Linked DNA regions of Danio rerio. The protein of the gene in region 1 interacts with the protein of each later gene in a pairwise test. Links are inferred from orthologs where the notes say so. Each region holds a gene or a part of one and is shown on either strand. Other genes may lie near its edges. The genes, in order: trim23, flad1, klhl42, morn4, lnx1, phf1 and hoxb5a.

What was found.
Region 2: the proteins of trim23 (region 1) and flad1 interact in binary tests that used the Homo sapiens proteins (3 or more experiments, as listed by UniProt). The two-hybrid records come from large-scale screens. The link is inferred for Danio rerio from reciprocal best matches to the Homo sapiens genes TRIM23 and FLAD1.
Region 3: the proteins of trim23 (region 1) and klhl42 interact in binary tests that used the Homo sapiens proteins (3 or more experiments, as listed by UniProt). The two-hybrid records come from large-scale screens. The link is inferred for Danio rerio from reciprocal best matches to the Homo sapiens genes TRIM23 and KLHL42.
Region 4: the proteins of trim23 (region 1) and morn4 interact in binary tests that used the Homo sapiens proteins (3 or more experiments, as listed by UniProt). The two-hybrid records come from large-scale screens. The link is inferred for Danio rerio from reciprocal best matches to the Homo sapiens genes TRIM23 and MORN4.
Region 5: the proteins of trim23 (region 1) and lnx1 interact in binary tests that used the Homo sapiens proteins (3 or more experiments, as listed by UniProt). The link is inferred for Danio rerio from reciprocal best matches to the Homo sapiens genes TRIM23 and LNX1.
Region 6: the proteins of trim23 (region 1) and phf1 interact in binary tests that used the Homo sapiens proteins (3 or more experiments, as listed by UniProt). The two-hybrid records come from large-scale screens. The link is inferred for Danio rerio from reciprocal best matches to the Homo sapiens genes TRIM23 and PHF1.
Region 7: the proteins of trim23 (region 1) and hoxb5a interact in binary tests that used the Homo sapiens proteins (3 or more experiments, as listed by UniProt). The two-hybrid records come from large-scale screens. The link is inferred for Danio rerio from reciprocal best matches to the Homo sapiens genes TRIM23 and HOXB5.

Annotation. Positions count from the first base shown.
Region 1 is NC_133185.1:12,467,804-12,471,809, forward strand, and holds part of trim23 (E3 ubiquitin-protein ligase TRIM23), read right to left. Parts: intron 650-4,006; coding exon 467-649; intron 377-466; coding exon 161-376; intron 82-160; coding exon 1-81.
Region 2 is NC_133191.1:24,178,488-24,183,128, reverse strand, and holds the start of flad1 (FAD synthase), read right to left. Parts: upstream 2,963-4,641; 5' UTR 2,633-2,962; coding exon of another isoform or gene 2,576-2,632; intron 1-2,575. UniProt on the Homo sapiens protein: Catalyzes the adenylation of flavin mononucleotide (FMN) to form flavin adenine dinucleotide (FAD) coenzyme.
Region 3 is NC_133179.1:18,226,179-18,229,792, forward strand, and holds part of klhl42 (kelch-like protein 42), read right to left. Parts: intron 2,339-3,614; coding exon 2,145-2,338; intron 89-2,144; coding exon 1-88. UniProt on the Homo sapiens protein: Substrate-specific adapter of a BCR (BTB-CUL3-RBX1) E3 ubiquitin-protein ligase complex required for mitotic progression and cytokinesis. The BCR(KLHL42) E3 ubiquitin ligase complex mediates the ubiquitination and subsequent degradation of KATNA1.
Region 4 is NC_133188.1:44,273,040-44,277,785, reverse strand, and holds the start of morn4 (MORN repeat-containing protein 4), read left to right. Parts: upstream 1-1,704; 5' UTR 1,705-1,824; intron 1,825-2,155; 5' UTR 2,156-2,167; coding exon 2,168-2,234; intron 2,235-4,746. UniProt on the Homo sapiens protein: Plays a role in promoting axonal degeneration following neuronal injury by toxic insult or trauma.
Region 5 is NC_133195.1:25,268,370-25,272,375, reverse strand, and holds part of lnx1 (E3 ubiquitin-protein ligase LNX), read right to left. Parts: intron 2,012-4,006; coding exon 1,803-2,011; intron 157-1,802; coding exon 1-156.
Region 6 is NC_133191.1:49,886,428-49,891,160, reverse strand, and holds the start of phf1 (PHD finger protein 1), read right to left. Parts: upstream 2,856-4,733; 5' UTR 2,538-2,855; intron 2,165-2,537; 5' UTR 2,164-2,164; coding exon 2,086-2,163; intron 1,960-2,085; coding exon 1,878-1,959; intron 1-1,877. UniProt on the Homo sapiens protein: Polycomb group (PcG) that specifically binds histone H3 trimethylated at 'Lys-36' (H3K36me3) and recruits the PRC2 complex. Involved in DNA damage response and is recruited at double-strand breaks (DSBs).
Region 7 is NC_133178.1:22,445,886-22,450,448, reverse strand, and holds hoxb5a (homeobox protein Hox-B5a), read right to left. Parts: upstream 2,854-4,563; 5' UTR 2,767-2,853; coding exon 2,187-2,766; intron 1,572-2,186; coding exon 1,324-1,571; 3' UTR 458-1,323; downstream 1-457. UniProt on the Homo sapiens protein: Sequence-specific transcription factor which is part of a developmental regulatory system that provides cells with specific positional identities on the anterior-posterior axis.

The DNA.
Region 1 (4,006 bases):
TGTAAACTGCTGCTGCTGTTTCTGCAGTGTCTCCAGCAGCCGGTTGATCTCCTGTTTCGCCAAAACCACCCTGCAATCATCCTGGCACAAAAACAACAAACTCAAATTCCTGATCTTTTGATCATGCTGGTTGTGTGACTTAGCATGCCTTAGATTGTACCTGCTGCAGTGTTTTCTCGCAGTGCAGGCAGGCTGTGGACACCTGAGACAGCAGTATGGTCATATCCTCCTGCTGCTGGCGAAGCCAGATCAGCCTTTCTCGGACGTGTGCGTCCACCACACTCAGAGCCATCTCCTCTTGGCGACACAGTGTCTCATGTAGATCTGCAAAGTAGGCACGCACGCAAGACCGGGCGCTTTCTGCAGTACCTGGAACCTGTGTGGAAACCAATGAGGAGTTTACTGAAAACCTCTGGTGTAAATGCATTAAGAAAAAGACTATGATTACTCAAAAACGTGTTCATACATGTTCAGTGTGAGCGATGCCCATGCTGTCCTCCACAATCTGCTCTCCTCCTTCTATCTGCTGCACAATGCCCACTAGTTTCCTGGAGTACTCCGACACTTCCTCTGTGAATGTGCGAATGCAGTGCGCCATATCCAGGATAGACGCTCGAATCTGGTTGGCTTCAGCCTCTAGTACAGCATGCTGGTTTAAAAAGGAAAGATTGGTGTATTAAGCAAAGTTTTATTTTTTACAAAGTATGATAAAATGTATTTATATTTTAAAGCAGACCAAATATTTAATGGTTTCAGCTTAAGTTCCTCATGTTAAATTGAGAGATTGAATTGATCTTAGATTCTCAGATTATAAACTTGTATCAACCATCAAGTTAAAAACAATTATTTTTTATTCAATACAACAAACAACTGATGATGTAACCCTTAATCATTATTGGCGAAGTAAAGAAATACTAGTGATGCATCTTGTTTTAATACTAAGAATTCATTATTATTCATTTATAATATTATTATTATTATACTTTGAATTTGAAATCGTCAATTTAAGACAATAAAATAAACAAATGTTGTTTTCCATTTTACTTCAGTTAATTTCATTAATTCAAATAATTATTTTCATGACTTATAAGATACAACATTCATATGTGAAACTTTTAGTAGACCTGCTTCAGATTTATTAGAACAGAAACAACACCAACATAAATGATTACTTTAAAGTCACATTTCAAGCTATTTCAATGTAGTTACAATAAGCAAAACTTAACCAACACATCTAAAACTATTAGGGATTCTTACGATAATAATAATGCAATAATATTAATAAACTTTACAAATACAAGTATTGAAATTGGGAATGAGAGCCATCCTAAACCAAGGAATACATGCCAATATTTAACCCTAAAGTCCAAACAATACTTCAGTGTTTTACAGGTATGCTAGGTTACGCAAACAATGTGTATGATGCAAAATTTGTCATCAGTACAGTATGAATTAGGGTTGGACGATATGGTCAAAAAAATGTAATCCCAGTATTTTTAGGAGGAATGACAGTATACAATAGATGGCCAGTATTTTCCCATAAATTTTTACTTGAGATTTAAAATCTTTATTAAAACTATATTAAACAGTTTTTGAGCAAAACTTAATTCAAACGCAGGTTTCTCTCCCTGTTTACAAATAAACAGCTGCACAAAAATAAAAGCTGCCGAAAATCTTTGATAAATAAAATACTGTACATGTTTTCTCCTGCTTAAAATTATGCTGCACAACACTTCCAAATTATATTAAAAAATCTTTGATAAATAGTACAGGGTTTTTTATGTCTACTGTGCTGCTGTGCAAATAACAAAGTAAACAGAACCATTGAAACCATAGCTACATTGTCAGGGCAAAAAAGAAACACACTTAAATAGTAACACAACAAAAAAGTATTACAGATGTTACTACTTCAATGTGTTCCTTATGCCGCCATTCATACCGCGGCGACGGCGGTACTTGATGCGCCAGCAGCTTTTGACCGCTGGGTGGCAGTTTAACCACAGATATTCAGCTTTGCCTTTTCACAACACTAAACAGACTTTTCTGTGCGTACCTTATGTGATCAGATGTGTTCAATTAAAATATAATTTTGATTTAGTTTTCTTATAGTGATAAACATGATCTTACCAGGGCTTAAAGTATTCCGGCACCATGCCGGATCTACGGCGTGCGGCCGTGAGAGAAAAAAAAAATAGAGCTTGCACATGCGGTTTAGTTGGGGATGCTCAAAATAACTGATTAAGCAATAACCGAAAGGGTGCGTTTGTAACCGATGAATGGTATCAGTTAAACGATTAAAATATGCTTTATACATTTTTAAAGTTTGGCTGCATACGGGGCATCTGTTTAATGGTTTACTGACTGCCGCCAGTGTTTTACGCTCTGCTTATGCTTGCTCAGCGGGCTTTAAGTTTTGCCGTTGCGCTGTGTGCTCGAGTGGAAAAAGCGTGTTACCTCTGTTTCATTGTTCAGTCAAATGAAAGCACTGCAGGCTTTCTGTTGAGGTGACAGCGGGGTTTGGGTTGTCAATGTGAGTACGATAAACTTTTAAAGATTGAGGAGAGACTTGTGGTCGCTGTTTCAAGTTATCCAGAGCTGTATTTATAGATCTTAAATATCACAATATTATTAAAATTACAATTATAACATCGACAGCAACTCGACTCGCGCACACCAGCTAATTCAGTCGTTTTCTAGTGACATACAAAAGAGGCTTATTTTTTTCTTGTCAACCATAAAAGGCAGCGCGGTACGTCGCGCGTTTTTGCAACGTAAAGGCGTGCGCTTTGTGATCGGCCCCTAAATGTACAACAAATATTTGTTAACTCTTGGGATGGTAACACATGCAAACACACGTTTCTACAGACAAATTTTGCCAAAGAAGCAAAATGAAAGAAGGATATTTCTCGTCACAGTTTCACACAGTGTTGACAATAACCAGCGCTGATGCAGATCACCTCTGTGCTGTATGGAGCCGCTTCATAAACTTAAAAAAAGCAGGCTGTTGATGATTTAGGGTGGGCTACAACCAACAAACCCCTTTTTTATTTATTTTTTTATTTTTTGAAAATTACAGTTATTAATAGTTCTTATATAATATCAGCTTTTAAAATAGCCTACAATCTACGAATCAAACAAATCCAAAGATTTTCTTGATTTTTGTATAATAATAACTCCGCACCAAACTGAGGCTTTCATTTTATAGCTTAAAACATGTATGCAAATGTATGCAATCTCATATGTAAGGGCTGTGACGGTCACCGTGACGACAATCACTCTAGAACACACATTTTCTGTTTTGTTGCCAAATAGCCTATACATTTATGAACATAACGTTAACTTAGACGTGATACAGCAAGTTCAAGTTCAGCCATGAACCTTGCCGGAAAACTTATATTACATCGCCAATCTGGAAACATTTTGGATTCGTGGCGAACGAGTAAGGCGAATCAATAATTAGGATGAAGCTATTTGTAGGGCTTGTTTAGAAAAATAAGTGTTAAATGGACAAACACGTCGAACCTCCATAGCCATCTGTGGTAATGTCACCCAGCCATGACATGCGGAGCCAGCTCCGGTGTCATCTACTGAACGCAAATGCCCAGCTAGTCAGCCAGGTATGGTAGAGAGGCCTTTTCAAAAATGGGCAAATACAAAAGAGAAACTGATAAATAGTAGACGTTGATGAGAAATGGAGCAGCATATTTGGTAGTTGAGAACGCGCCGATCCACAATGTAGAGCTGGTTTCCGAGAAATGCAGGCGGCGGAGCAAGATACTCTCTTTGCCACGGTTGCGAAAAAGTATCTGTATGGGCTACAGGCACACAGTCTCAGTGCTGCTGGAAACATTGTAATCTCAAATAAGTCTCCGCTTAAACCGAACAAAGTCAACATGTTAGTTTTTCTGGCAAATAATTTAAAATATGAATAGAAAAAAAGGCAGAGAGACGCAGTTTTTTTTCCAACATCTGACTTATGTTGTTACAAGCCTATAGGCTAATATTT
Region 2 (4,641 bases), on another chromosome or scaffold:
AAATAAATAAAAAATCCTGATATGGCTTAGAGGGGCGACGCAGTGGCGCAGTAGGTAGTGCTGTCGCCTCACAGTAAGATGGTCGCTGGTTCGAGCCTTGGCTCAGTTGGCGTTTCTGTGGGGAATTTGTACGTTCTTCCTGCGTCGCGTGGGTTTCCTCCGAGTGCTCTGGTTTCCCCCACAGTCAAAAGACATGTGGTACAGGTGAATTAGGTAGGCTAAAATTGTCCGTAGCGTGTGTGTGGATGTTTGAGTTTGTGTGGATGTTTCCCAGAGATGGGTTGCGGCTGGAAGGGCATCCACTGCTTAAAAACGTGCTGGATAAGACGGTGGTTCATTCCGCTGTGGCGACCCCGGATTAAAAAAGGGACTAAGGTGACAAGAAAATGAAATGGCTTAGTGCAATAACGAACCTGCAATCAATAATGGTCCCATGTTTTCATAGAGCAGCATGATACTTATCTGCACGCGCTCCTATTTTAGGTGGAATGTAATGTATATTTGTAAGTTAAACATGCACCAATCATCTTCCAATGTTTTTCAATGAAAAGAGGTTATAAATAATTTGTTTAAACACAAACAGTACTAGGAACTCCAAAGGTTCCACCAAAATATTTTCTTAAGGTAAAAAAAAAATATTTTTTTAAATATTTGTGTAAGAGTATAATCTCACATATTATTTTATGTTTACAATTGTATTAAAGGGAGGGGATTTTCTGATATGAATCATATGCATGTCATTGCTTTTTCTGTATGCCAAGTGATCTTCAAGCCCATTGAAGGGAACCTCTCATGTGGAACTGGACATTTGTGGTACTTAATCAGCAGCCACTAGATAAGAATTTTACTGTGCGTCAAAGAATAAATAATATTAATGTATGGTTAATGATTCTAATGTATGAAAGAGAATTTCTATGCTTAGTTAGCTGCCAGAGGCAAGATGTATATTCTACCAGTGTTAATAAGATGGCTGAGAGCACAAGAAACGGCCTCAAGGATAAAACAGTTTGTACTTTGTGTGTGTTCTATTCTTTAGTGGACCATTCTTACTGATTTGGGGTCAGCTCTAAATAGCCTACTGGGCTGTCTGACCTTTGTATGCTTGATGACCAAGTAATCATTGGAGATAATGTTCGGAGTCGTATGCAGATGTGGAATTTTCTGTCAGACAGAAAAGACAGACTATTCATTTTTGGGATAAAACTTCCCCATCCAATAGCAGACATGCCCAAACTAGGGCACGCGGGCCAAAGTTGGCACATTGTATCATTTGACTTGGCACACCATCCCATCTGAGAGGAGAGTGAGAATGATGGGAAGGGTTGGAGCAAATGCCTTTAAAAGATATTGTAATTTCTAGTTTAATGTAACCTATTTTGTTTGTTTTTTTGCTGAGCCACAAAAAAATCTATATGAAATTAAATGTTTCAATTACATATTTGCAAATTAATCAGATTTTTTAAAATATAAATAGTCACATAAGAAATCAAAGCAAAAACAAGTGCAGCTTGACTAGTGTAACTCCATTTTGTTATAAATGGGACTGTTTTTAACAGTAATAAGATCATTATGAAAATGTTTAAATATATACAGCATTGGCTATTATAAACAATGTTTTCTAGTTATTTCTGTACATTAAATAGATTAAGAAATTACCAATGGAAACCTTAATTTAGTATATTTACCTTCGGCATACCCTCAATCAAGTTTGGTTTGTGGCCCCTCATTAGAAAAAGTTTGGGCACCCCTACCCAACTGTATCATGAAATGTGATAATTTTCTTAAATACTCATTAAGTTTATTTACAGAGCAATTATAATTTTTATATTTATTTGTTTAACTTATTATTGTAAGTAATATAGTATTACAACTACAGGATAACAACTACATATACTATTATCATCATAAATCAGACAATCTTAGTCTATCAGTTACAAATATCCACAGGAAACATGAAACTTATTTTATTTTATTTCTGATTATAAATAATATTATAAATAACGTAAATCATTATATTATGATTTTTATATCCATAATTAAATTATCAATTGTAAATTATCATACTTTTGTTTTAATAATTGTGCAATACATAACAAAAACACAATTTTCAGCTCAAAGCTTCTGAACTTTTACATACACATTATTACTTTTTCTCTAAATTTCCACATATCAGTCAAAAAAAAAAAAAAAGAAAGAAACAGCGGTCACTGCTATGTTTTCAGATCTGCTATGCTATGTCTTGCTCGGTTTACTACTGTAATTTTATAACTTAATCTGAATTGAAGTAAAGCTACACAACTACTTCGTACTAAGAGCAATCTGACAAACGGTTTTCCCTTTACTTTTATCCAGTCCACTAACTTGATTATTAATTACATTATTACATTATTGTTAATGTTGATTATTAACATTAACTATATTATTTAGGGAGAAAAGTACACAGGACTAATCTCTTGTATCTGTGCCATTAGACATCAGCCAATGAAATGAAACAGCTGCAACAGCAGCTTGATATTATATAAACATACAATGTATCAAAAGCAGAGACAAACACACTTATGATCGTCATTCTTACCTGGTCGGCATGTAACTGTATACGGGCGTTTGTCCGGACTGCGTGACCACCTAACAACTACATAATAGATCATTTATCATGTTGAAGACTGAATCAGGCAAATCAATGACTGCATTACAGTTCTCAAGGTATCGTCGCGGTCATACTGTATGTGTGATGTCAAAGTCCCAAGTGCGCCGCACGTCCGTACCGTGAAACCAGAGTAAGCTATTCGCAAACATTAAACGCAGCTGAAGATTATAACCAACACAGTGCGAAAAATAAAGCTGAACCTGATTCTACGTTTCCGACGTTGGAATTGTTTTGTAAATGTGTATTATCGTGCGAGAACTCGCATAACAGCCTGCTCGGTCAGTAAGAAACTTGGTTGTACAACCGTCACGTGACGTGTCTTGGCCAATTGAAATGAGGCGATGATTTACTTCCTAAACAAACTGACCAATCACCTTAAAGAAGGCGGATACTTCCTTGGGAAGTGAAAGCGGCGACGTTCATGTAATATACTTGTTTTTACTTCCATGTAATATGCAATTTCTTATTGGTTTCAAAAACAGTCAACAATAGATTACAGAAACTCAGAACATTAGTAAAAGACGGATGTTGTTACAACCTGCATTATACATTTTAAAGAAGAGAGAAAGAAGTAAAAAAAAAAACATACAAGTGAAATAAAGTAAATAAAGGATGTAATGTGCAAATACAGAAGGGTAAAGTTGTTGTGTGAAAATATGTTCACCTGCAGTCTGTCCCATGACCAAATAAATGCATCCATGTTTTTGAATTATGTAATTTGAATAGTGTTTTACATTATTTGTGATTGTTAGAGGTTTTCGTTGTAGTGGACAGAAAATGTAAACTTGACAGAATAACTTCCACTTTAAATAGTAACAGTAATTACTAATAAAAATATTATTATTTTATTATTAATAATAATATAAATAACAACAACAATAGTATTCCAAACCTTTTTATTATAGCAGCTTGCATTGTTTTTTTTCTGAATTAGTGGGTCAAAACCTTGAGAAAAAAAATGAAATACAATACTAGAAACGTAGTTAAATTAGTATATATTTAATAAAGTGGCATTTGTAAGTTTAAACATTACATTTTAAGATACACACATCATGTGGAACATAATCAACTGGGTATTTATGGTGAAAACTAGTAATGTTTTCAACTGCAGTGTGTTAACTTTATTTCCACACATAAACGTTACCTCATTACATTTCGGTACAGCGGTTGATTTCAGTCGTCGTTTACTTCCTCTGTTCAGACTGAAATCGTCCTGTGCGAAATGTTCACTGCACACCCTCAGTCCACGGATGTTCCGAATTGAGGACTTTGTGTCTCGACGAACAGCGTTCAGCCACAGATTCAACCTTTTAAAGTCTTGAAGGGGCAACGAGTGAAAAGTCAAACTTTCCTCGTGCGATGACGCCGACTGACGGAGTCTGAGGGGTTTCTCACGGTTAAAGCATCCTGGAAAAGCACACACGCGGACCATTTTGAAAACCCCACCGTTATAACCAACCAATAAAGTTTTGCGGGCACTTTCTCTGTTGCTCTGTTGTTGTAGTGCTGTTTAGTTTGTAGTCCTGAAACCCGGAAAAGATGTTTCAGTTCCAAACCTTCATATGTTTCCCTCTAGCGGAGGGGGGGTTGTGATTCATAATAGTGAATCGGTTGATTCACTCACGGATTCGTTCAGTGTTGTCTTCAGCAGTAGGTGGCGACATGAGAGTGACTTATCTGACTTTATGAATTGATTTTAATTAAGAATTTATTTAACACAGAAAACATCGTATTGTTATTAATAAATCAGTGTGACTACAATAAAACAATTTAAACCAAGCAAATCTACAAAAATATTTTTATTTTTGCCAAATGGGTGTGACTTTGTATCAATCAAAAATAAAATAAAGCTACATTTTAGCATTGTTTAATTCAGTAATGTATGTTACACAGTCAAAACACAACAATAACAACAATGTGCAAGCTCTTGTCAAGCTCGAAATGTGCTGATTCTTTCAGCAGGTGCAAACAATGAAATGCGCATTCACATCTCT
Region 3 (3,614 bases), on another chromosome or scaffold:
TGCTGCTTGCGCACATGAGCCGAACAAGAATGGAAAACAGACCATGCGTCCGAGACAGGACAGTAGCGCAGGACGTTGGTGTTTCTGTCTGTCACATATTAGAACAAATACACTGAAATCAGAATCTTAAAGGAGGCATAGTTGTGTGGAAACATAGTTGTATGGATATAGCCAGCATCTAATGGTAAAAAATAACTGATTCTGTTTTTAATAATCACACTTCATATAAACAGTCTGCAGAAACACTTTGATTGACATTCTCCCTTTGTACATGTCATTAGAGGAAAGCCCCACCCATTAGTGACAATCTGTCTCTCATTAGCATAAACCGCCCTAAATGAGAAGCAGCCATCCACTATTAGAGTTTTAGGATGTTCGTAGCTCCACCATCGTTTGAAACGAAGGCTGGGATCACATAATTACATTTTAATTTAAAGCGACAGTCACCAAAATAGCGCAATTTAGATTAAAGCCTAAAAGAGGCAGTTTCAAAGAGATATACAAGATCATTTGTAAGGTATTTTGAGCTGAAATTTCACAAACACACTCTAGTGACATCAGAGATTTATTTTACATATTGTAAAACAGGGCATAATAGGTCCCCTTTAAAGGTGATTTTAAATACAGTGGTCCCTCTCCATAAATCGCTCTTGCGGATTGTTTTTAGTGCAATTTGACATGCTTTTTTTCACAGCGCATTGTTTTCTGCGTCCTAATTAGCGCATTGTGTTCTGCGTCCTGATTGGCTGTAGACCATTTTCAATCAATCACCTCCATGCAGTGTCTCCTGTACAGCACAGAATGCGTTCAGCTTGCCAAATTAACATCCATCTTTGATCGCTAGCAGTGTGACTCGGAAGTGCTGTACTGTATGTTTACAAGTTTTTTCCCCAAACAAACCCCATAATGTCAACGAAATATTCTGCACTGTTAAAAGTACCTGTGGTAGCACCTAAAAAGCAGAGGAAGACGCTAACCATTGCACAAAAGTTGGACCTCTGGACATGCTAAAGGAAGGAAGAAGCTACACGAGTGTTTATACGAGAAAAAAAGTGTGAAAATGTTAATGTCTATCTGAGAAAAGAGTGTAGTGAGGGGTTTTACAGCCTTAAAACATTTATAATAATTGTGGAAATTGTGGAAAAGCGGACTACTTCACCGATTTCAGCTATTGTCTACTTTTAGAACGAACTCCCGCGATTAACGAGGAATCACTGTATAGTATTTTGTTTTAGTATACTGTATATATCTTTTCGACTGTGACATGCAGCTATGCAAATATTAAGACATTACTTGATTTACTGGATTTATTAGGTACAGGACTGAATAAAATATGAATATTTATTAAATTAAAGGTGTAATAATATTCATATCAAAATCTAAGTAAAATTATAAATGATCAATTCTATTTTTATTTTCAGAAAATTATCAAATTTATTATTTGTGCATCAAATATCAATTTCGTACCACTTCTGAAGTTAAAGCATTTGTATTGTGATGTCTCAAATGAATATACAGTAAACATGTCTGAAAACATGGCGCCATTTTGTTATTTTATGCAACAAAAAAATCTATAAATCCTATTTTCATTTTAAATTTGGACACGGGTCTTCAGTAGTTTACAGAATAATACAAAAATAAGCTTGACTCAAATACAGTTAGACTAAAAATACATATAACTGTAAGGCTGCTGGCACTGACCATACTTTGTATTATTACTACTTTATAAGAACACTATGGAAGCCCATGTCTGTCACAAAATAAGAGGTAATTGTCACTTTTGATTTTACAATTCTGACTGTTTTCTTAAAATTGCATAATATGATCTCACATTTGAGACGTTAAGACAGAATTGCAAAAACCATATTCATAATTGTGAGAAAAATGTCAAAATTACTGAGAAAAACTAGATATAATGCCACAATTCTAACCTTTCACCTTGTAAATCAAGGTGTCTTTTCTCTTGCGAGTTAAAAGTACAGAGTTTTATAAAAGTGCTCATAAACTTCTGACATAATAAAAAGCAAACAACTTTATATCTGTCATTTCTGAGCCCAAATTCTGAATTGTACTTATTTTAATACGCAGTTCTAAGGGGGTTTCTGATTCTGCTTCTGAGTGTGTGTGCTCTTAGTGAAACTCACCTTTAGAGGTATAACCGCCCATGACGTAGATCATGCCCTGACACTCACAGGCAGAGAACTCAGCGAGAGGATCAGGCAGAGGCGCCACACACGTCCACCAGTCCTGCTCAGGACTGTAACACTCCACTGTACCCAGACAATGACCTCCAACCGCATACAGCTTCCCACTCACCGCCAGCAGCTTGAAGTTTGATCTGGACATAAAAAAAGAGCAGGGATACAGTAGCTCACCCCAAAATAAAAATGCGGTTATTTTACTCACCCTCAGGCCATGCAGGATGTAGGTGACTTTTTGTTCAGTGGACCATTAACTATTTTTGCCATCGTCCTTAGTGATTCATAAAATGCAAGTCAATGCATTTTGAGAGTCAAAAAAATAATAAAAAATTATAGAATAGGGAAGCACTGAAAATTAAATTATGGGCCAAAACCAAAACCAATAAATTCTTAATAACCTTAGCCGCAAGCAAAAAAAATTATATTGTAAATTGTACCAAGTACTAATTGGAATAATTGCTTATTATTATGTTATTACACAGCATAAAGTAATTGTAACCCAATAACTTACATTATATGGATTTTAAGAAACAAACCAATAACCACATTTGGTCACACAGGCTTTTGCTGTTATTGCCCCAAAACTCTGGAACGGGCTTCCACCCCACATCAGACACACTCCAACTCTATCTTTTTTAAAAACGCTTCTGAAACTCCATCTTTGTTCTTTAGCATTTGAGTCTTTTTAATGTTGAGGGGTTTGCCTTATGTTTTAATTGTTATGTGATGTAGGATCTATTTAAATTAATTTTAATTGTGTTCAGCACTTTGGGCAATGTTGTGTTGTAAAAAATGTGCTATATAAATAAACTAACAAAACTTTATTTTGATGGTCCATTTGTTGAATTTACTTTGAATCTACATGCCAATTATTTCTCATTAGATAATAAGTAGACTGTTAGGTTGGATTAAGGGTTAGTGTAAGTTGACATGTACTTGCAAAGTTTCTTATAGTCAGTTAAATGTCTGTTGAAGGAGCAGTATCAACATATATTAAGCAAGCAGACAATCTACTAATACTCAAATGTACCATCAAAATAAAATATTACCTTTCATTTTATTGACTGTAAACTGTTATTGACAGTAAACAAGTCGAGAGTTGACATTTTACCAACGTTGCATACCTGCTGCATAGTAGTGCTATTGCAAGCTATTGAAATGAATTGGCTTATATTGCAGCACTTTCTGAGTCCAGTGTGAAAGTTGCTTCACTTCACACTAGGGCTGGGCAATATGGCAAAAATGCTATCTGGATAATTATTCTCCATATTAAACGATAACAATATTTCAATATAATTTGTTAATGCTTACAGTTTTTAAAGGAGTACCCCAACAATGACTGAAGCCACAAAAATGAAAGGTTCCATTAAATAGCATAATTTATCCATTAAATAGCATATTTTTCAGCCAATA
Region 4 (4,746 bases), on another chromosome or scaffold:
CACACTACGCACACGAATGCGCACACACACACACACACACACACACACACACACACACACACACACACACACACACACTCAGAAATAATTAAACCACTTTTGATTTTTTTTTTCTACCTTTTTTTTTTTAAATAATTTTTCAAATGATGTTTAACAGATTAAGGAAATTCTCACAGTATGTCTGATAATATTTCTTCTTTTGGAGAAAGTCTTGTTTGTTTTATTTCACCAATAATACAAGCAGTTTTTAATTTTTTAAAAAACATTTTTAGGTCAATATTATTAGCCCCATTAAGCAATATTTTTTAATAATCTAAAGAACAAACCATTGTTATACAATAACTTGCCTAATTACCCTAACCTACCTAGTTACCCTAATTAAGCCTTTAAAATGTCACTTTAAGCTGTATAGAAGTGCCTTGAAAATTATCTAGTCAAATATTATTTATGGTCATCATGGCAAAGATAAAAGAAATCAGTTATTAGAAATGAGTTATCAAAACTATTATGTTTAGAAATGTTTTGAAAAATCTGCTCTCTGTTAAACAGAAATTGGGGAAAAAAATAAACAGGGGGGCAAATAATTCAGGTGGGTTAACAATTCTGATTGCACCTGTATATAAGAACACTAGTAATTTAATCAGATTTAGGGTTAAAAAAAATAATGGTTTATGTCAAAAAAAAAGTTTTTATTACCGAATAATATTTCTGCTATTAATTGAAATAATCCATTGAGAATTTTATTTGCATAAAGAATCTGACTGCAGCCAGTGTTCCGCACAGAGATATGATCTCACAATTTATTTTTCTAATTCATGAAACGTAGATTAAGAAACTGTTCACAGTGAGGATAAAGTTGCTCAGACAAAATAAAATACCTGTATAATATTCCTCCTTAATAAAATATTACAAAATGGGCCAAATTATGCTATAATTAAAATGCTGAAAGACAAAGTGCATGCTGTAATTGTAAATAATCTGTTGACTGTGTTAATGGCTAGCAAATGGGACTTCCATAACAATTTCTTACTCAAATTGTTTATCAAAATTAATGTACATAAAAGTGTAGCAACAATTCGCAGAACATTAGAATAAACCTAAACTAATACAAGCTTAAAAATAGGACATCTCAATTTAATTTAGGAAGAGTTAAATAAGTTAAATGCCCACTTTAGAAAAACATAACCATGGGTTTATTATAGTACAAGTGTAGTAATGATGATGTTTTGGCAGATTTATTACCATAACCGCAAGTTTACTGCATATACCATGGTTAGCTATGGTGTCAAAGTCATGCATACTTTTGGTTTAGCTACAGAAACATGTTTGTGGTAAAACATTTCCTTTATCAAACTGTTATCAAAAATATTGTATCGTGTTGTTAACAGTACTAAACACAGACATAAATTACAACATATAAATTAAGGCTAATAAACTCCCGTCACTGTTTCAGTAATTGTGTTTGTTGTTTAAGGTGGTCTAACTGTACTGCCTTGAATGAAAAAAAAAGGTTAGTTCAAATAGCAAACCTTAAAATAGGCAGCAGCAGTGACAGCATTACTTACCTTTGTAAACAGCACTAATGAGAAGAGTCCGTATCACGTTACCCTTGCCAGTGTGGCTCTTTTGTAGACATTGATCAGCCAATCAGCGCTCGCTGAGAGAAGCACAACATAAAACATCGCGAGATCTTTAAGGACAGAGAGATTCAGCGAGAGGAACTGAAACACCGGCGAGCCAGGACCCAATTTTCTCTGTATCTGCGGATCCGCTGGACAAAGCGAAAGGGTTTCATGCTCTTCAGACCGCATATAAACATAACAGGTAAATGAAATCTCCATTTGCTGGCGTGAAATAACGCGAAACGGGTTTTCACAGGCTGTAATTGAGAAGTGGGATGACGTCACCTCAGCCGCTGCTTTCTTTTAGTCCGTAAATGTTTAAACGTGTTCGGCGTAAATGAACCGTTACATTATAAATGATACAGTATCGGCTAAAATTAACCACCACAGGGCTCACTCTGTTAGACTGAGCTTTACACTGTACACAATACGACTGTGTGTGGGCTTAGGTGATGTTCTGTTCATGATCTGCTTATTACATTAGTGTAATTCTGCCACCTAACGTTATTGATATTCATCTGTTTTGTGTGCAGCTTGGTGGAGGTATGACATTAACCAGGGGCTCCTTCACTTATTCCAGTGGAGAAGAATATACCGGAGAATGGAAGGAAGGCAAGACATTTCTGAATCACTTTGCATTGCTTTTGAATGATCATTTTTAATAAATAGAGCAGGTTGTCACGTGGTTTCACATATGCACATAAAGGCTATAAATTATGGAATTAGTTTACATTAAACATTACTGTCAGATACACAAACACACACATGCGCATATATATATATATATATATATATATATATATATATATATATATATATATATATATATATATATATATATATATATATATATATATATATATATACACATACACACACACACACACACACACACAGTTGAAGTCAGAACTATAGCCCCTCTGAATTATTAGCCCCGTTTATTTTTTTACCCAATTTCTGTTTAACAGAGAGATATTTTTCAACACATTTCTAAATATTATCGCTTTAATAACTAATTTCTAATAACTGATTTATTTTATCTTTGCCATGATGACAGTACATAATACTTTACTGGATATTTTTATATCTATCAACATATTCGTTAGACTATCGAAAAAACATATAGCTTAAAGGGGTTAATAATTTTGACCTTAAAAATTAAAAACTGCTTTCATTCTAGCTGAAATAAAAAATATAAGACTTACTCCTGAAGAAAAAATAATATCAGATATACTGTGAAAATTTCCTTGCTCTGTTAAACATCATTTGGAAAAAATTAAAAAAGAAAAAAATCTAAAGGGGATAATAATTCTGACTTCAACTATATATATATAGCAAACTATTAGACAAAGTTGCAATTTGGTGTTAATAAAATTACAAAAGTCATTTTTTATGCAGAGAAAGCAAAGTACCTATTTTGTTTCAAATATATGTTGTAAATAAAATTATATTAATATATTTTTTTTGTTTGTTTTAAAAGGTTTTTATTGAGATATTCATTGCATTGCATTGCACAGCATTACAGTAAATATTACATCTCTATTTTTTTTGCAAAAATAAATAATTAATAAAAAATTATTTAAAAATAAATAAATAATTTGTAAACCCAGAATACACTTTTCAAAAAACACAAAATGCTTAACCTCTAAACCCCCCACCCCTGGGACCAAAGCTTATGCAGTAATGTTGGTGTGACCTTCACCATGTGGGTTTTTAACCTACGCTTTCAAGATAGAGGAGAAGAGGAGACCAAATATTGTCAATTTGTTTTCAATTTCTTTGCCATAAGAAATCTGATTATTTCCAAATATGCTAATTTAGGTAATTCTTCCAGCCAAGATCTAAATGATGAGGATTGTGTTGATTTCCAAAACCTTACCACTAGCTTCTTTGCCACAATAAGGCTGTAAGACAACAGTTGTTTTTGAGAATCCTGGAGTGATCTAGTTTTGTCTGAAATTCCGAATATGACCAAAAGTGGGTTGAAAACTGTTTCACAGTGTAAAATTTTAGATAGTTTTAAATATTTCAGCCTAGAATAGGATCAACACAGAGTATAACTATGTAAGGAAGTGGCTAACTCCATCTTGCATTTATCACAGAATAAATCTACATTTTTAAATGGGTGAAAATATGTTCCATGGTCATTCAGTATAACAGATGTATTTATGTAAAAATAAACAACACACTTATTTTGACTTGCACTAATAATAAGTGATAAATAATATATTTTACATTATTTTAATTGATTAAACGTGTTGGTAACAAGTGGGTTAAACCTTTGGGGTTGGGTTAAATTTTTTTTATGTCTTTTAATGTCATTAATTCATTTGTGTTTTAAATAAGCACAAAAATACTTTTTTTGTATATTATTGCTACTCTAAAATGCAGTTTTAGTATTTTTGGGATGGGTGAAAATCCCATTTTTAAATGGGTGAAAATATGTTCCATGGTCATTCAGTATAACAGATGTATTTATGTAAAAATAAACAACACACTTATTTTGACTTGCACTAATAATAAGTGATAAATAATATATTTTACATTATTTTAATTGATTAAACGTGTTGGTAACAAGTGGGTTAAACCTTTGGGGTTGGGTTAAAAATTTTTTATGTCTTTTAATGTCATTAATTCATTTGTGTTTTAAATAAGCACAAAAATACTTTTTTTGTATATTATTGCTACTCTAAAATGCAGTTTTAGTATTTTTGGGATGGGTGAAAATCCCATTTTTAAATGGGTGAAAATATGTTCCATGGTCATTCAGTATAACAGATGTATTTATGTAAAAATAAACAACACACTTATTTTGACTTGCACTAATAATAAGTGATAAATAATACATTTTACATTATTTTAATTGATTAAACGTGTTGGTAACAAGTGGGTTAAACCTTTGGAGTTGGGTTAAAAAATGTTTATGTCTTTTAATATGTCATAGATTCATTTGTGTTTTAAATAAGCACAAAAATACTTTTTTTGTATACTATTGTTACTCTAAAATGCAGTTTTAGTATTTTTGGGAGATTTTCATTATTTTCGTTTAAAAAGGAAATTAAAAGGACTTAACAACAATAACAAAAAATGGTAAAGAGATGTAAAATTAGTTTAAAATTAGTCC
Region 5 (4,006 bases), on another chromosome or scaffold:
CGTGTGGGCAGGGAAGGCCTCGGTGGGGGAGTGATGATGGGAGCGGTAGCGATGGCGCTGCTCTCGCAGGACGGTCAACCGCAGAAGTGTGCACGGCTGCTTCAGAGCCGCCACGGCATAACAGTGAGGCACGTTACTGATGTCAATGCCATTTACCTGAAGAGACCACACAGTATGAGATGATTAATTTATGATTATGTACATGTTTAAAGCTCAAACAGCAGAGAATGATATATCATAACCAATTCCAAAAGCCTGAGTTTCATGTAGTACTGTCAAACAATTATTTAGGATTAATCACAATTAGGCTTTGGATGATAACCGTTTTCAAGGTATATCGTGGTTTGGAAAAGTCAAGGTTTTAAAACCGCCAACGTCTTCTGCCATATCATTCCTATGGTATTTGTAAGATGATTTTTTTATTTTTTTTATTATAATTTTCTGTTTGTTTTTAGGGCAATAGTATCTCCAGCAGAAAAGATATAAAAAATTAATCAATGGTAAATAAATCTGTTATTTTTTTTAAACTAATGAAGACAGAATCAGTCAATGATTCATTTGAATTACTTAGGCTGACATGTTTACTGCTCCAAAATATTTTAAGTGTTTCTCAAAAGAAAATATATTGTGTTCAAAGGGGTAAAAGTTTTAGTTTTTTACCCAGACATTTAAAAAGAACATAATTTAGAGCACAATACCTTGGAAGCATTTTTTATATAAGGTTATCATACCTTCAGAATCTTATATCAGCCAATGCCTAATCACAATTAAAATTGAAGGTTGCATTTACCTGATATAAGTGTTTGTAGTTTGTATAAGCTTTATGTAAGATAGGATGTACATCTAGCTGGTTGTTAGCATACATATTTTAATTTTAAGTATGATTAATTGCATAAATTAGCACACTATTGAAAGGCCACATTTTAAATGTTAATTTTATTTAGTGTTATTTTTATTCATTCATTCATTAACATGCATGGGATTAATAGCAAGAAACACACTACTGAAAGATCAAATTTTAAATGTTAATTTTATTTAGCGTTATTTTTATTCATCCGTTCATTAGCATAGACTAGAACATCTAGACATAAAATTCTGTCCATGTCCACATCTCCATCTAAACAGCTAACACACCAATTACTGCATATTTTTAAAACCAGTAATCCAGTACTCTTATATGCAACAATAGAATGTTTACTTTATAAATACACATTATTTTATTTATAGTGTCCTTACAGTACATTTTACATATGCCATTATATCTAGATCTACGTTGTTTTATTGTTTTTAAAATATATTTTAAATTCTTATTTTTATTAATCTAACTTATTCCAATGCACTCACTCATTTTCCTTCATCTTAGTGTCTGATTTATTAGGGACTACCACAGTGGAATGAACCGCCAGTTGACTTATTCAAATGTTTTTCTAGTGTTCTTGTGTTATATATCTATGTATACAAAGTTCCTGGAACCCACAATGAATTCCTTGCATGTTTGTACAGACTTGGAATATAAAGCTGGTTCTAATGTTGATTCTGGGAATGCTGCATATCTGCTTTTTTTAGGCTTATGGGACATTAACATAATCACAGCTTAAATGTAAATATAAGAGCATCTCTGCTTATTTTATATAACATGATCAAATTAAAAATGAAAGCAAAAGGCATTAAAATGTCTACATGCAGAATCCTAACACGTTGCTCCTCTGAACAACAGATGGTGACAACATGTGCTATCAAAACCGGGGTGATTTGCTCCTACTGTACATTGACGTAATCTCAGCTCTAGCACACATACGCACCTTAAGAATCATATCTCCAGGTAGTAGTCTTCCATCCCGAGCGATGACCCCCTCGCGGTAGATGTCTTGTATGAGGATGCGTACTAGAGGGGTCTCATTGCCACCAACAATACTGATTGCCAGTGGTTCACAAGGATCTGCCCTGGTGATCTTAATACTGGTGACCTCACCATCAGGGATTAGATGATGCAGCTGAGGTAATGCGAATACTGAAACAGAGAGAGAGAGAGAGAGTTTGTGTAATCAGTGAACTGAACTCCCACATGATCATCACTTTCAGTGCTACACAAACAGGGCATCTGTCCAGAGTAAAGCCAGGCCAAGCATGACTGCAGGACTTAAAAAAGCATTACAGTGGTCTGTTGGTGGATGCAAGGCTGGCAGAGACTTTATATGAATGCATTAAGATAAATCTTACAATTAAAGGGGTGAGTTTTAAGTAAAATTAAACTTTTTTCCACAGACAAATGTGCATACTGTAGCGCTGATCAAAAATCTGGAGCTAATATGTTATTTTTTATAATAGTAATTCGTTGTTTTATTTAAAAGTAGTTGTTGTGTTGATTAAAACTGACAGGGAAAAATGTATGTCTAATAATAACAAATGTAATTTATTCAACTTTTCATTTGTCAAACCATTTTCTTTTTTCAAGGAACTACACAATTGTTAAGAGTGCCTGTTAAGAGGATTTTTGTAATGATGCTGACTATTTGAAAATAAGAAATAAACCAGCAATTAATTTGATTTAAGCATATTTTTCCAATATTGAAACTCGCAATTTTAAATTGCAATAATATTTCATAAAAACTTATTTCACCAGTTGGATAATTTTTACTGACCAGCTTTGGCGGTATAACAATTACCAGCAATCTAGGGACTGCAAATCGCTCGAGAACTACAAGCACCATATTAATGAACTACACAGCAAATTCATCAGAGTTAAATTCTCGGTGTTGAAGCATTTCAGAGTAAAGTGTTGACGTTAAAGAGTTAAATTTTGATAAATGAATATAATAAGAGTTAAAATTGATTTTATTCAGTGCGAAATCAAAGAGTTATCTTTTCAATACTTGGTGGTGTTATTTCCAACATCCGGGAATTCATGCAGCCCCAGTCACTGAAGAATTTTCCAGACGCCATTTTCCATCTGAGGTTTAGAACAGCAACTGGTGAGTCAAACTACCTAAATGTTGGTATTTTACTGACTTTCTTTAAGGAAATACAGTTGTAAACATATTGTTAAGTTAATAATTTTAGAATGGAGTGACAATTTTAAACTTCTGCGGTTCATTCATGGTCGTTTGTGTATAGCTTAACTGCATTACTATTCACTTCTTTTCAAGAATGTTTTTTATATATGCTCACGCATACATAGTGCATAAAAACATCAAATGTACATGTTAAACACATTTATGTCACGCTTAATGCTATTTTGTGCGTTGTTACCCATCTGTAAAATAAAATCGACACTTCTCCTTTAATTCAAAGCAAACTAGCGAGGGAATCCCCGGAGCAGCCTAGCCTACTCTGCCTGGATGCTAACGGCAACACAGGACGGTTTCCATGAGCTCTGGAGTTTCTAAAACATATCTGGTGAGTAAATGAACATGCTTACTTGTAAAAGGCTTCCTGACTGAAACATATGATTGTTTGTTATTCGTGTACGTTAATTTGGTTATTTTAAACACCGCAGCCCTTTTAAACTGGTTCATTCGTGGCTGTCCAAATAACGTTAGTCCATAGACTCGTGTGATAACGTAACAGTTACGCTTGAATTATATTAAGTGTTGACTTCCATTAAAGTCGGAATGTTAACATTAATGTCTTTAAATGACCGCGTTTGCACTTTATCAGACATTTGACGTTACAGAAGTCTCCCGGAAGTTGCGGGACTAACGTTAACGTTATCCCGCAAATGCACAGAGACTCCCAGATACCCAAGTTGATGCCCGCAAATGAATGATAATCTCCTGGAAATCGCGCGTCTCCCGCCCGGTCATTAAACTTTGCACGCCCCTCTCCACCGCATCCCTCCCAGCTCTTAAGGTACGTCGCGCGCAAGTCACCCCCACCTCTCTTCAGGTACGTCGCGCGCAACTCATCTCATTGCTCTTCAGGTACTCATCTCTCCCTCTCTTTAAGTCTGTTTTGAGTGGACCCCATGAGACACTTTCAAAGGGTTGAAATTAACACCCATAGAGTT
Region 6 (4,733 bases), on another chromosome or scaffold:
TATTTTTATAAATATAAAAAAATAAAAAAATGACATCAAGGCAGTTTACATGAATTGTAGGGTTCAGGGGTGGACTTAGTGATTTGGGGGCCTAAGCAATTCCAGGTATGTGGCCCAAGCACTGAAACTTAAAACATTCTCTCTCTCTCTCTCTCTCTCTCTCTCTCTCTCTCTCTCTCTCTCTCTCTCTCTCTCTCTCTCTCTCTCTCTCTATATATATATATATATATATATATATATATATATATATATATATTCTCTTTAGATTAGTTTTTTTAATAAATAAATAAACAGCATGTTAAAAATATATATTTAAAGTAAATTTGATGTATTTTAATATTTAAAGGAAACTTTATTTTCTTATTGTCAAATTAAATGCAATAAATTCACCAAATAAACTAAGTACATTTAATTAGCCATTTTTGTGATTAGATTTTATTACAAATTAAAAAAACATTTAAACAAAATTTATTCACAATCCATCAAACTAATCTTGTCACCATTTTTCCCATAATCTTGAATAATTGCTGTTTGTGAATTGTCGGTCATTACTTTTCACTGGGAAATGTTATTTTTGTCGAAGGTTGCTAGTTTGAGCCTCGGCTGGGTCAGTTGGCATTTCTGTGTGAAGTTTGCATGTTCTTCCCGTGTTCGTGTGGGTTTCCTCCAAAAACATGTAGTATAGGTGAATTGAAAAAGCTAAGTTGTCCGTAGTGTATGTATGTGAATGGAAGTGGGTGTTTCCCAGAGATGGGTTGCAGCTGGAAGGGCGTCTGCAGTGTAAAACAAATGCTGGATAGGTTGGCAGTTCATTCCGCTGTGGCAACCCCAGATTAATAAAGGGACTAAGCCAAAAAGAAAATGAATGAATGAATGTTCCTTTACTTTTCATTGGGAAATGTTATTTATTTGAACAGATCCTCTCTTGACAAGCTCACAGCGCTCATCATCTGACAGGTGTTTCGGCCATCGTTTGTCTTATTTCTACTTTTGTCCCCCAAATGTTCTCAAAATGTTCTTCACTTTTGCTCTACTCAGATCACTGGCAGGCTGACAGTCTTTGAACTGATCACACCTCACCTATGGGCAGTACGTTCCACTATTCATGGGGGCCCCTGGTTTTAAAGTGGGTACCACGTTCGCCTCACAGCAAAAAGATCGCTGTTTCGAGCCTCGGCTGGGTCAGTCGGCATTTCTGTGTGGAGTTTGTATGTTCTCCCCGAGTTCATGTGGGTGTTTGCCGGCTCCTCCCCCACATGTCCAAAGACACATGGTAAAGGGGAATTGGGTGAGCTAAATTGGCCGTAGGGTATGTGTGTGAATGAGTGTGTATGGATGTTTCCCAGGGATGGGTTGCAGCTGGAAGGGCATCCGCTGCGTAAAAAATGCTGGATAAGTTGGCGGTTCATTCCGCTGTGGCAAACCCAGACTAATAAAGGAACTAAGTCGAAAAGAAAACGAATGAATGATAGAAAATTTACAAGAGAGCTATACTGTATGTTGAATATAGGGTTCTTGACATTGATTGGGGCCCCCTAATTCCCTGGGGCCCTAAGCAACTGCTTACCTCGCTTATAGGTTAAATCCACCCATGGTAGGGAAAAAATTAAAAGTATAAATTTTGTAATTTTGTTCTTAAGCTTTCAAATAAATAAAACGTTTAATATATTACTTTTGGTGTTTTTAATTTGGTGGCAAAGAGCATCAGTGTGTGGATGTCAAGCGGATGGCAAGATTTGGACATCAAGTCGATTTGCAATTTGAATGCGTTTTTTGACATTATACTTGATGTCTATTGGATGTCGTTTTGACATCAAGCTGCTCACCGAGATGTTTACGCTTAGTTTTTGACTTAAAATTCAGAGTTTTAAACTCACACGAGTGGATGTCTTTCCTGAGGACCCAGAATTCAGAGTTATCCTCAAATCTGATCAAACAGCACTGCTTGACACTGTCCACCTGCAAGACGAACACATCCCAAACAACACCACACTCATTTTCACAAGTACAAGTCGCAGTTTTCAAAACTTGCTTTTTCATCCTCTCCACCGGCTCCCTCCTCCGAACAAACTTGGAGAAACTTACTCGTTTGACATTGCCGAGATATAAAAGTCCATCGCTCCACCTGGCCAAAACATCCTCTCCTTCACTGACTCCCCCCATCCTGAAGAGAGCGGGAAAGAAGAGCGCACAAAACATCCAGAGGCTTTCAAATCAAGTAGCAAACAGCAGCAGCCTAAAGGGTTAAACTCTGTGCATAGCGACAGTATACAGTACAGTAGGATAAATGATGAAGAGTCAATGCACATTGCAGTGCCACACATGATCAAAAAGAAAAAAGAAGGGGGAAAAAAACACTGGCTGCTTTATGCAACCGACCGTAATGCATATGCAGATGCCACAACAATGCATGCAAAACGCGCGGCCAGATGTGCACTAATCAATGCGCGCAACTCAGGAGAGCTGACACACATGACGGCGCGCGCACGCACATATCAATTAACACGCATGGCAGATCATACGTGCACGGGATGTACCTGTGTGGAGTGATCGGCTCTGCTGGGGTCACAGAGACGGGGAAGAGATGTCAGTCTCACATGAAACGCCTGATGGTGACCGGTGTTGTTCTGCGTCTCAATCACTGTCCCGAATAATCGGCGCGTTTTGGAGAGTCGCGGCGGATCAAACGCGCGTCAGTGCGCAACCGTCTGTCCGTCCGTCCGTCTCTCTCTCTCTCTGTCCGTCTTCATGTCTCTCGGTTTGATGCTTTCAAGCGTGTGCTCGTCAGGAGATTCAGCCCGAGAGAGACGCCATCATCATCATCTCTGCCTCTCTCTCTTTCTCTCTCGCTCTCCTTCGACTTGTTGTGACGCAGACATAAAACACAGGGAGATGGAGAGGGAGGGAGATCCGGAGAACACCTTCACATCTGTGCGACTGACCGACTTCCCACCGGACTGAAAGCCGGCACGACCACCGCCTGCGCCCCTACAGCCCGCGATAGGAGCCCGGCCGGTGCCGCTCGCGCTCACAGCCTCATTAGGGAAAGTTTGACGGGGTAATTAGTCCGGCAGAGCCACGCCGTGGACTTTCTGGAGAAAGTTTGAAAATGCCCTTGGGTGCCGGCTGGAAAAAAAAGTAAAGAAAAAAGAGGCAAAGCTGCTGCGCGCAAAAAAAGAATAGAAAAAGAAGTTTAAAAACAATGTTTTGACTTATATATATAAAAAATAAAGAAATATAACCGCAATATTATTATCATAAATTAGAAAAAGGGCTAACGCCCAAAAAAAGAAAACAGATTTTTCTTATTCCATATTAGATAATGCAGTTACAGGATTATTATGATCATAACTTAAAAATGAGTGTAATGCAAGACAATAATAATAACAATCGAAAAATACAATAAATTACCACTTTATGACGATTGCATTATTAATCAGTTTTGAATAAATTATGTTTACACTTATATTTTCATATAATTATATACCGTCATTTTATTTTGTTTATTAATAATATTTTATTACAATATAAGTTATACATTTATGAAAAACATTACTCTGGCTATTCATAATGTACATAAATTTACATTTTATTAAATTATTTAATATACATTTCTCATATTGAGTAGATCAGTAGGTTATTAATGCTCAGACATGAGTTCTTTTTAGCGCTTTTCCAAAAATGTATTAATAAAATAAATCATTAATAATTTTAATAATAATAGTGTGTGTTCACTATCTATCTATTCATTATATTATCTATCTTAAATCCTGGTTGCCTCAATTTTTAAGCTGAATCAGATTAACCTTATGAGTCCGCTGAATTTATATGTTAAACTGACTTAAAACAGCTTCTGTAACTTATGAAATTTAGTTAGAACATGATTACCTTAGTTTAATAAGTTACAATGACCTAAAATATATGCTGTCATGACATATTGATCATATTTTACAGTGTACAGTGCTCAGCATAATTTAATAATATTTGATTAATTTCTCAATGGATATAGGCAATTATTTTGGTGCATTTAAAAAAACAGATTTATTAAACATATATTTATTAAAACAATATTTTAGTCACCAAACATATTTAGAAATTGAAAGATAATACAATTAAATTCAAGCTAAATATTGCAAAGTTTCAACTCTACTTTTTTTTTTTGTATTTGTTGTTTTGATTTTTCTTCTTTTAAATTTGTATACATATACATTTGGGTGTACTAGTTTTTGGACCGTTATCGTAAGTTATTTTGTTAGATAGACTCCAGATTTGGCTTCAGTAATGTACACTCTCAGAAATAAAGGTACAAAAGCTGTCACTGGGGTGGTCCCTTAACAAAAAATACAAATCTGTACCTTAAAGGTCCATATTAATACTTCAACGGTGCATATTAGTACCTAAAAAGTACAAAAGTGTTCCTCTTAAAATTTGTAGGTACTAATACTTTTAAGGTACCAATATGGACCCTTCAAGTACAAATGTGTACCTTTTGAAAAGGTACCACCCCAGTGACAGCTCTTGTACCTTTATTTCCGAGAGTGTATATCATATGCACAAATATAATATTGCATAGCTTCCTGTTCAAAATATGAATTTAAAAGATCTGTGAGGGGCATGTCCAAAAGACCTGTGGTACAGTGTATGAGTGTGTGTGTGTGTGTGTGTGTGTGTGTGTGTGTGTGTGTGTGTGTGTGTGTGTGTGTGTGTGTGTGTGTGTGTGTGTGAGAGTGAGT
Region 7 (4,563 bases), on another chromosome or scaffold:
CAAGTGACCGTTGGTACACTGCGGGGACCTCCACTCGGCTCTCAAAACTTAGAGGTAGAGAACAGTTTGGCACGCATGGTAAGTTTAAAGGTTCAGTGTTTGTTTACTAGGACGCAGAAATAAGAGCGTTTGTAGATTATATAAACAATCTGGAAAATGTGTATGTTTCGTATAATTAACTGTATTTTTTAACCATATTCTGTACACGCCAGGTTTAAGGTAAAAATTTTAATGTGCGTTTTCTCTTAATAGTAAGATCGCTATAGCGTTTTGAGTATGAACTGTCAATATAAAACGTCACAGATCTGCATTGTGCCAAAATATTTCTGTCACATATAAGACCTTTCAGAATTTAGAGTTTCAGAGAATATTTGAGTGTGTAATCGATAACTGTCAATCACTGACAATAATTAGATGTCTGGAATGTGTTAGAAGAATAGTCAAGAAAAGTAGAAGATTTGAATATGAGGAACTTTATTTTTTACTCCAAGTTAAACTACAAACAAATACAAAAAGCATTTTGGCAAAATGCTAACAGGCAGATTGACATGACTTTTTTCCACATTGCCGTTTATTCTGCCCACTACAAATAGCCAACTGATCACAATAAAAATGTTCAATATATACAACCTTTTTTGGAACATAAACATGATCCAGTAATATACAATTATATATTTGGAATACAACTATACACACGTATGAACGAGTACAAGAATCTAGCGAGGTCTATTTACACCATTTAATTATTTTTTTTTTTTCAAAAAAAAAATAATAATAATAATAGAAGATTGTGAACACATGACAAATCGATTGTGATTATTTAGACATTGATTAAACAGAGGACCATGAAACATAGGCTTCTGCTAAATTTACTGCAGTCACCTCTAAACTAGAGCTTCACTTCATACAAGGGCAGATGCGTTTCTAAGCTGTAAACTCAAAAGGTAGTTATACACGTGTATAGGTAAATAAGTTATAACATTTAAGAGCTCACATGCTAACTCTCAAGAAAGCATTAACATAGCACTTGACACATAAACAATATTTGTAACAAGAACAACAAGCGTTATATTGATAGCTTCTTTCCCTTCAGTTTTATTTACTTGCCAAAATTAAAGTCACCATAAAAGAACAACATATGAACACTAATTTTTGTTTCATTATAGCAGTACCACAGTAGAATTTTAAAATGCCTAAAACATCCATAACATGCCGAAAGGTGCCGCGATGTACAGTACTCTGTAGGTAATGTTTTGAGATCTCTTTTTCATCTCATTTTCCGCGTAATTTTTTGCACACCACGTAGCAGGTCTTGGGATACAACTATGGTTGGAAAGCGCTACCTGCGGTAGCCAGACTCATGCTCTTCAGTTTATTGTCCTTTTTCCATTTCATCCGCCGGTTTTGGAACCATATCTTAATTTGACGCTCTGAGAGGCATAGAGCGTGGGCTATCTCTATCCTCCTTCTTCGGGTGAGGTATCTATTGAAATGGAACTCTTTTTCCAGCTCTAGCGTCTGATAGCGGGTATATGCAGTTCGGGCCCTTTTGCCGTCTGGTCCAGTCATATCTGAATAATGTGGACAAAACGCAAAGGGGAACAAACATTAGCAATAATCGGCCTGTACATTATTTCAACAACAGTTTCCAACAACTTTTTCCTACAGATACTCATGAGTGGCACGTTTTACACCTAAATGTGTACAGGGAAATCACCAAATGGTACAGTGCACAGCGCCTCACTTTAGGCTCAAGGCGTTTGTTTTTCCTTCGTTAGTTAAAACCTCAAAACTTTACAGAAATAAAGCAGCATTTAACAAACGTAATAATTATTCATAAACGTTACCTTTTCCGCGGCTTGTTTATACAACCCACAACCTCGGCTTCTTCCCATGTTGTTGTTTTTTCCATTTTATTACCGGTTCTCAAACACTAATCACATTCCCACACATCATAAAGCTGAACTTTTCACAGAAACAACAACTTGGAAACCTTCCTGCCTCGCTGCCCTCTCTTCCACCCCGCTCCCATTCTCTTCTCTACAGTTTGCGAGGCTCCACACTTGATAGATTTATGGCATTTTCACGAATATTTAAAATAAAGGCTGTTACTGACGCCACACTAACATTAAACCAGTACGCATTTGCTAACAAAGAAATAAGACATAAACATAATACGTATGTACCATGGCTAATATGTAGTTTCCTCATCCAAGGGAATATTTGGGGAGCTTGGCCATCGGACGTCGCCGAGGTAGTGGAGGTTGCCGTGGTCTCTTGCTTCTGTTGTGTCCGGGGTGCAGAGTTGTTCGCTCTGTGAGACGCCTCCTCGGTCTCCGATGAAGCACTGGCCTCGTCGATTTCTGTAAAATGTGTGTTGCTGTTGAGATTATTACCCGCAGTGGTGGTGCTTTGGTCGGAAGGGGGCGAAGAGCCTTTGGGTCCAAGGCTTTCGCTGTTGGAACAAGGCAGCGGCTCCGGAGACGCGAGCGAGCAGCTTGATGGCTGCCGGAATCGCGTCTCCGGAGCTGGAGACTGGAAGACCCGGGAGTTGTCCCCAACCGCCCCAAAGTGGCCAGTGCTGGTTGAACGATTGACGCTTAGGTCCATTCCATTGTAGTTGTAGCCGTAAGAGCCTGAATGCATGGTGCCGGAGTCCCTGTACGAAGCGTTCATAGCGCTGCTGCTAGTTCCATAATTTAGTAACTGATAGTCAGGGCCATTTGGGTAGCGCCCTGAGAACGAGTTTACAAAGTAAGAGCTCATTTAGGTTGTTTTAGAGGGCTTGATTTGTAGATCTTGGTCGTTATAACGCTGTGCTTCACGATTTATGATGTATTAATGAATTATAGCAATGCACTGTACTTCGTTTTTGCTATGTATGCGGCCAAATATGGGGGTGGGGGTGCGTTTGAGAATCACGTGCTTTTGTTGACCAGTCGTAAATTCTCACTGATGACTTCAAGAGGTAATTCATGCTCTATGGTTACAAATGATGACGAGACGGGGAGTCGTTAGACTTGAGTCAACGTGTTCCTCCCATTGCAGGGATTTGCTGGAAGTAAGCGGACAGCGTCACCTACTGGGAATGAAATTCGTTGCACTCTCACAAGATATATTCTGCGCTGAATGCCACTTTACTTTCTTTTAAGCGTAAATAAAAATTCTTTTGTTTGCATTTTTGCAATAACGTTAATAACGTTTAGAGTACCTATTGACCATTTACACATACAACATCCCACATACTTTATAATGCATGCTTGATATGAAAATATAATCTAATGTTTAACTGTCACATGATTCTGATAAAAGGAAATAAAATAATCGTACTCGAAACACGTAGAGAATATATTAAATGTTAGGCTTTAGAATATCAACTGTTGTGATGATGTAAAAACTTAAGTCTACTTTGGTACGAATTTAAATTTCTCTACCTATAATATAAATTAAAGGACTTAACACTAAATCAATTCAATTGTAAATCGGGGGAATTAAAACATATTTACCTAAATGTCAGTAGCCTATATCTTATCATTGGTGCTACCGCAAATATATTTCTTCAACGTAAAAAGCGGTGTGATTTCCAAAGTTCCAAAGATGAGTTTCTGGTCAGACACTGGATATAAGGAATGTGAGATCATGATTTATGTTCCAAAAAGATATATGGTTTGTTGACAAAGTGCCAATTGCTGCTTCGTGTTATATGCATGGTGTAAATCATAACAAAAACCTATATACACTGTTGGTTTTGTTAAATGCAGAAAAGTACACTTGAAATACATTGACCCAAATATTGCATTGATATTTTAGCAATATTTAAAATCTGGAAATGCACAAAAGGACTAGCAGGTTTACCACCATTTGTAGCCTTCGAAGAAGCGTGAGGCTCTGTAAACGTTGAAAACGTGTAAACGTAAACTCGTTTCTGCGTAGAAGAATAACTTGTGTATCTGGCTTTTATCTAGGCCTTTAAATATAATTCTATAAGCTATGTCTGATTCTGGTTTGCATTTTGTTGACGCAATTAGCAAACTCTACCTGAGATATTTGGGTTATTATCGCTTATAACCCTCCAGGCTCTATGTCTCAGGGTGAGTGACCAGCGCCGACAGGTCAGCTTTCTCTTTTGGTTATCTATTAAAATCTGCTGAACCTTCTCACCTTACACTTTGTTGGAAGTATTTTGGAACCAAGTTGTCAATGTTCAGCCTCTTAATAGTGCAAAAAGCGAAACCAAATTCCTAACCAACGAGTTTTTGTTCATTTTATTTGTTTAATGAAATCACTAAAAGTCTATCTAAAATAAAACATCGTACAAACAAATATAAGCACTTAAAAATATTATCCGCAGTGTCGCACTAGTTTAGAAGTGCAGTTTTACAGCGCTGTCAATATACAGACTTATTTTACGTCGACTTATTTCTCCTTGCATCATTTACGGGTCATTAGATCACTTAATTTGTTTAAGCTAGTTTTCTTGACAAAAATGTATGAAAGTATACAGGCGTTACACCGCAATGAGGACCAATAATTTAACATTTTCACCGTCATCAGCTAACATGT